Linked DNA regions of Macaca fascicularis. The protein of the gene in region 2 binds, or shares a complex with, the protein of the main gene of each other region. Links are inferred from orthologs where the notes say so. Each region holds a gene or a part of one and is shown on either strand. Other genes may lie near its edges.

Region 1 (3,743 bases), on a different chromosome or scaffold from region 2:
CTGAATGATGTTTGAAGGCTACTGTATCATTTAACTCAGGTTTCAAAGGCAGATCTCAGATTATATATATATGTGTGTATATATATATAACAGGTCATTTAAATTTACAGAAATGAAAACATAATTCTAAGAGTCCAGTAAAATCACTTTCATATACTCTACTAATTCACATAACTTTTAGCAAGTACTGAAACAGATTGTTTCCCCCTAACAACTTAAAAGAAATTTAGAGCTACAGTTTATCTCGAGGGCAAAAATCTCTCTCATGGGCTATAATAAATTACAGTCTTATTCCACTACTCCAGGGAATGTTTTAAAAAAGTTAATTTATGGCAACAGAAATACGTCTTCTCTAGTTTGGTCTTAATCAAAGGGGCCTTATAAATACAAGATACTTATTTCAGTGGAAGGAAAATAGAGCTTTAGTGAGTTCAATGTTTTTAATCACCAAATAATTAAAACCATTCATGGCTCACATCTTTCGATTCTTTCTGAAAGACAAGTAGGTTAAAAAACAAAAAGGAAACAAAGACTGAATTCAGAGGTTCACTCCAAAAGGCAGGTCCTAGGCGTATACATTTCTACCAAAAATGTCAGCAGAAATACACAAATATGAAAATAACTTTACACTCAGACTAATTCCAAAAAAACCCACCATTCCAAACTTTTCACCAGTTTTAGCTTTTATATACTAGCCAATACTAAATTTAGCATACTTTTCTCTGCCATAAATTATCTCTACTCCTTTTCCTCTACACGACACATTTCCAGTCAGTTAACTTGCATGGCTGTCTATAAATATCTGTATTGACGTACCATTTACTGAAGTCAATTTGTAAAGAATGGTCAACTGTAAGATCTGTTGGACAAGCAGGATGGACTTTCTTAGGATCACCTCCAAGAGTTTTCACTGCCTCCCTCATAGCAGCAAAATCCACCATTGCCGGTATTCCACTAAAAAATAAAGAATGGTCAAATTATAGTCCAAATTGTTTTTTATACATGCTTAATAAATGATCAATATAAACTTTTTCATTTTCACATTTTAAAAGTATCCCTGTCTAGTTTACATTCATTTTTCATAATGTAGTTATTATCTAAATTTAGGAGTATCCTGGTTTAATGGGAATTAACATTAAACATTATCTAAGGACTGAATTACTTGGGCAAATGTGCCAAAAATAATAAGAGAGAATTTTTGGAGGCATAAGTGAACTTCAAGGAAACTGCCTGTGAAACTCTCTTTCGCCGTGTATTTTTTTTGATGCACCCTCCCCTTTTCCTAGTTCCACCCCCTTCTGCCTAGTGCCTTCATGTTACCCCAAAGCTATCCACAGTAGCTTTTGCCATTTTACATTCATCCACCCACCTATCCAGCCAAATATATAACAAGTATTATCAAATGCCTTCAGTGTGCTAGATACCAATGGTACAAGGCCAAGTCAGACATAGTTCTGGCTCTCAAAAAAACTTTAGGGAAGATAATGATTACAGAATAGTATCGTAAGTACTATAATAGCTGCATAAATTAACAGCTTGAGGCCAGGAGGTCGATGCTGTAGTGAACTATGATCACGTCACTGCACTCCAGCCTAGGTGACAGAGTGTTGACTGTATCTCAAAATAAGATCAAGTTTTCAATATGTTAAGTTTGAGAAACCTATTGGCTATGTGGAAATCATAAGCAGGTAGTTAAGCAAAAGCAGTTTCTGAATAAATGGTGTAAGAAATACCATTTATTTCTTATGCGGCTATGTATCGCAAGTACTGTAATGGCAGCATACATAGGTTACAAAGAGCTGTGGCACACAAACCAGATTTGAGTGGGTGGGGTGAAGAGGATGTTCTAGCTAACCCCTATGCCTCTTTCAAAACTCAGCTCAAGGTTAACTCTTCCAATAAATAATCCCTGGACACCCAGATCAGGCAAAATCTTTCAGAGTATGATAAAGGCTCTGGATTTTGTTTTAAGTGTGATGGAAGCCAGCTGGTATATGGAGGGATAATATGACTTGATTTACATTTGTAACCAAGTCACTCCATCTTCTGTGTAAAGAACAGACTATTGATTCCAAGTGTGACAGCAAGGATACCAGTTAAGAGGCTATTGCAGTTATAGTCCAGGTTAAGAGAGAATGGGACTAGAACCACAATGACAGTGATAGAGGTGGAAAGAAATAATTGGACAAAAGATATATTTCAAAGGTAGCACTGACAGAGCTTGCTGATAGACTGGTTAGAGGGTATTAAAGAGAGAGAAAAATCAAGGCTAACTCCTAGATTTGAAGCCTAAACAAATGGGAGCGTATGGTGACATTTACTATAACAGAAAAGACTTAGAAAGAAATAGGTGAGTTGAGACAGACAATCAAAAAATCAAGTTTTGATGGCTGGGTATAGTGGCTCATGCCTGTAATCCCAGAGCTTTGGGAGGCAGAGGCAGGAGGATCGCTTGAGCCCAGGAGGTTGAGGCTGCAGTGAACTATGACTGCATTACTGCACTCTGGCCTAGGTGACAGAGAAAATCAAGTTTTCAATATGTTAAGTTTGAGAAACCTATTGGTTACATAGAGATCATAAGAAGGTAGTTAAGCAAAAGCAGTTTTTGAATAAATGGTATACAAAACAGGTGCCTAATTTTTAATGAATTGCTTCAGTTTAGAAAGGGCAAAATTTTTAAGTTTATAAACTAACCTTAAAATTAAAAAAACAAAACAAAACAAAAAAACAGAACCATCCATCAGGGAGTCTGAATTTTTATTTTTTTTCTATTTTTAGAGACAGGGTCTTTCACTGTCACCCAGGCTAGAGTGCAGTGGTGGGATCACAGCTCACTGCAGCCTCAACCTCCTGGGCTCAACTAATCCTTTCGCCTTAGTTTCCAGAGTAGCTAGGACTACAGGCATGCACCACTATATTCAGCTAATTTTTAAATTTTTTTTTTGTACAGACAGGGTCTCACTATGTTACCCACACTGATCGCAAACTCCTGGGTTCAAGTGATCTTGCTGCCTTGGCCTCCCAAAGTGCTGGGAGGTGTCAACAACCACACCCAGCCAAGAGTCTCAATTTTAAAAAGGAAACACACTCTAAGAGTTCATTTATGAAAAATAAACCCATTACTTACGTAAAATCTTGAAGAAGAACACGGGCAGGGAAAAAGGGCACTTCAACATTGCTTTGTTTGGTTTTCCAGTCTAAAATGTTCATAACATCTTCCTTCTTCATTAAAAAGCCATCACAATTTCGTACAGCAGCTTCCAACAAGACCCGTATTGAATAAGGCAGAACATCTGATTCAATAAAATATTACGATTAACAAGCAAACAGTCATACCTATATATTATTTTTAAAATGCCACAGCAAAAAGTTAGATAAAGACAAAAATGCAGGTTTCTCAATTTAAACAGTTCATTTTTAGTCTAACAAACTAGAGTATAACATCGTTCATGTTAACATCAGGTGTTTTGTAACTGACTTTCCTGTACATAACCTCAAAGCCCTGAAAAAAGCAGAGATAAAAACCTTCATACAAGAGTTGCATTAATTTAGGAATATCATACTGCAACCATGACAAATACTTGACATTCAAGGAATTCACAGAAAAACTAAAAAGCACAGAATATCAGAATTGAATTCAATAATGTAGACATCCCCTAGTATGGCAAAAAGAAAATGATTAAATTGTATAAAGTCTTTAATAAATTTAAATTATTTCCAACAAAAATGACTAAGTTTAAAAG
Region 2 (3,743 bases):
ATAAAATTGCTTTTAAATTAGACTCACAATTTAAATCAGACATAAAGTCATAAACAGAAAACAATTTTTAAAATTATGTGAATTTGGAAGCTAATATTCCCCCGGACCGGATACGGTGGCTCACGTCTGCAATTACAGCACTTTGGGAGGCCGACGCAGGTGGATCACTTGAGGTCAGGAGTTTGAGACCAGCCTGATCAACATGGTGAAACTCCATCTCTACTAAAAATACGGAATTAGCCAGGTGTGGTGGTACACGCCTGTAATCCCAGCTACTTGGAAGGCTGAGATAGGAGAATCGCTTGAACCTGGGAGTCAGAGGTTGCAGTGACCCAAGATCGTGCCATTGCACTCTTGCCTGGGCAACACAAGCGAAACTCTGCCTTTAAAAAAAAAAAAAAAAAAAAAAAAAAAAAACTCACCTAGCAGAAATTGTTTAATTCAGTGACAGAAAAAATGTATGCTATATTAGTTGTATTTAACCCATAACTGCATTATATGCTGATGAAAAGAAAATTGTCTTTAACTGTTCACATGTGAAAGTAATTTACTATAATGATATTATATGAAACTGTGATTCAGAGAATGTGGCATTACCAATCAAATAAAGATAGGTCAAAGACAGAAACAGATTCACAATTATTTTGAGCCATCACCCAAATGGAGCCATAATGGTATATCACCCTTAAATTTTATAGAATTTATTCTGTATTTTTAAAATATTCATATAATTATTATTAAACATAATTACTTAAAGCAGTTTTGAAAGCATACTAATTTTTTTTTTTTTTTTTTTTTTGAGGCGGAGTCTTGCTCTGTCACCCAGGCTGGAGTGCAGTGGCGGATCTCGGCTCACTGCAAGCTCCGCCTCCCGGATTTACGCCATTCTCCTGCCTCAGCCTCCTGAGTAGCTGGCACTACAGGCGCCCGCCACCTCGCCCGGCTAGTTTTTTGTATTTTTTAGTAGAGACGGGGTTTCACTGTGTTAGCCAGGATGGTCTCGATCTCCTGACCTCGTGATCTGCCCGTCTCGGCCTCCCAAAGTGCTGGGATTACAGGCTTGAGCCACTGCGCCCGGCCGAAAGCATACTAATTTTATTTTTAACTTTTAATTCTGAAAAACAGTCAAAAGCAGAAAGAACTAGCATAATGAATCCCCATGTATCTATCACCTATCTTCAATAATTATCATTTTGTCAATCTTTTTGCATCCTCTCCCACAAATATATTTTCCTAATTTTTTTAATTGCAGACACCATTATAATTTACCCATGAATTTCAGCATTGCTAGTTTTCCAAAAATATATATACCAAAAACACATCATCTAACTATAAAATCTACTTTTTGATGAATCTCTCAGAGTTTCCCTCCCTGGCATTGCTGATTCATGTAAATAAATATTCATTTACAAAAAAACATGAAAATATTTTTAAAACCCATTTACCTACCTCTGGCCCAATGAACAGGGTACAGATGTTTCCAAAGCGATCCAGCTTTTGTCAGCTGAGACCATTTCATGCTTACTTGACTGCATCGACATAACTCTTGAGGATTAAGATAGCTGAAAATTGACAGCATTACCTCAGGAGGAAGATGGGTTATACCTGTGGATTGTTCTGACACTTCAGCTTCTGAAATAAAAAAGAAAAACTTTACCAGTAAAGGCTAAAGAGCAAATGCAATAAGAAATTACAATCACATTTCTATAAACAAAATCCAGTGCCTGAAGTCAACTCCTTCCTGCTTGCAAGATGTGAAAATGAAATAACATGTATTAGAGGTAACATGGGGATGTTAAACTTGTTAAGAACAAGTAGGGTTAAACTATCATGGCCCAAATCATACTTCATCAGTGGGAGCTACAATAATGAACACAGAATTAACTTCCTCTTACAAAGGCATCACAGAGAAAACAATACTCACTTTGTAGCATTAAGTAGCATCACTTGAAAAAGGAACCAAACAGGTTATACAGCTTTAAATCAACAAGTATAGAGTCAGCCAGATTATGAGATCTCCAAGGCATTTTTAATGACACACACAAATCTCATGACCTTTTCCATTTATGCATTATGACTCCTGTCAATAATCTTCCTTGTATTCCCTCTTTGATTTTCACATTTCATACAAGAGGTCTGCGAAATCTGACTGCCTTAACCTAGAGGTGCTTTAAACTACTTCAATTATTTATGTCGCAGGTGACACGACAAAATGCAAATATTTCTGATGTTGTTTCACGTTGATAAGGAATCTTTTGTCAGCAACTATTGCAGGAAGTACTTATGGATATATAAACCTATTATTTCAGTAATAATTTCCAAAATAAAAATGAAAATGAGGTGTTACAATAAAAAATATAAGAGATTCATCATTAAAGTCATATGAAGAATTTGAGTACTTTATATATCTGATTTGTTTCACAAAGTAACTTAAATATAGAAACGCTATGATCACATTCTTTAAACTACCACTTTTAAAATGCCAAATATTTTAAACATAATACAGCTACAATTTGCTTTGAAGGAGTGGGAAAATAAAATGTAGTAAGTGTGATGCCTTTAAATCCCATGTTATAATTACAATTAAACCAGACACAACAAGTCTTAGCTTGGTAACTAAAGCACAAGCTATATTTCAGAGTAAGGCATACAAGCTTTATGGGATTAATTATTGCTTAACTTGTAAAATTATTTGTTTCAACATGCATTTCACCTACATTGTTAAATAAAAATAAAAGGACCAATTTCAAAAAACTCCAAGCTATTTTAACAGAAATCCCATTGCTGCCGCCAATCTTGAAGAAGTGAACATAAATAATTACTGAGGAAGTAGTTTATTTTTTAAAAAATAAACTTTATTTGCCTTTCTCATCTGTATTTTCAGAGTAACAACACAGAAAAACTCTGCCTCTAGTACTTGTTCCTCTGAATATTACTGGATACAAGCTGAAAAAATGATACACAGGAAAGGATGAAAATAAATTATAAACATAACTGATTTTGAAAACCAATGAAAAAACACAAGGAAAGAGAAAAGCAGCCACTATGGTCAATAAAGCTCAGGAAGCAGGATGATACCACAAAAGTGCTCTGTGTAATGGTAGTTTTCAACAATTTTGACTGCTCAGTTTTGAGCAGGCCAGTGCTCTGTACTGGTAGTTTTCAATAATTTGGATTCACTCATATATAAATTCATTCAAGAAACACTACACTGAATACGTCCCAAGTATATGTTAAATTATCATACACAACACTGAATTCTAAAATGAGAACCATTGTCTTCAATTAAATTGATACATGAAAATAACGCCTTTAACTGACCACAGTACAGGCCTAACTTAAATTATTCCTCAACCAAAATCTACAATTCATATCAGTAAGATGTCAATGACCTTATAACTAATAAATTGTTCTTTATCTATATATATGAATCTCACCTTTATCTGACTTTTCATCCACAGAATATTTAAAATATTTCTGTCGCTCTTCAGCATGATTCCATAGGCTAAGACCTCTAAGGAGTTCTGCAGTGTCCTTCTGAGAGCAGTGTTGTGCAATCACTTTCTTTTTAATATCCTTAAGCTCTTCATAGGTAAAATATTCCATTAACATAGGCTGAAAAACCTAAATTAAACAAAATATTCATGAGGAAAGATGCTTAATTCGTGTTGTTTCACTCTACACCCTTTTAAATTATTAACAGCTCAAATGTCGTATTATGATCATATATCTCAAAAAGATAA

What was found.
Region 1: the proteins of FBXL5 (region 2) and IREB2 are in contact, whole or in part, in a cryo-EM structure (PDB 6VCD), measured with the Homo sapiens proteins. The link is inferred for Macaca fascicularis from reciprocal best matches to the Homo sapiens genes FBXL5 and IREB2. Residues at the interface, in NP_036293.1 of Homo sapiens: Asp656, Glu657, Tyr661, Cys662, Asp663, Asn664, Ile665, His669, Ala670, Asp671, Thr672, Ala673, Ser674, Gly675, Cys676, Gln677, Asn678, Leu679, Gln680, Cys687, Arg688, Ser689, Gly690, Glu691; in NP_004127.2 of Homo sapiens: Asp89, Phe90, Ser129, Asn217, Val220, Glu221, Arg224, Arg228, Ala758, Gly759, Ser760, Arg763, Asn764, Thr777, Pro778, Arg779, Asn782, Ser783, Tyr784, Gly785, Ala786, Arg788.

The regions. Positions count from the first base shown.
Region 1 is NC_088381.1:55,824,400-55,828,142, reverse strand, and holds part of IREB2 (iron-responsive element-binding protein 2), read right to left. Parts: intron 3,294-3,743; coding exon 3,128-3,293; intron 955-3,127; coding exon 817-954; intron 1-816. UniProt on the Homo sapiens protein: RNA-binding protein that binds to iron-responsive elements (IRES), which are stem-loop structures found in the 5'-UTR of ferritin, and delta aminolevulinic acid synthase mRNAs, and in the 3'-UTR of transferrin receptor mRNA.
Region 2 is NC_088379.1:14,781,787-14,785,529, forward strand, and holds part of FBXL5 (F-box/LRR-repeat protein 5), read right to left. Parts: intron 3,625-3,743; coding exon 3,438-3,624; intron 1,633-3,437; coding exon 1,450-1,632; intron 1-1,449.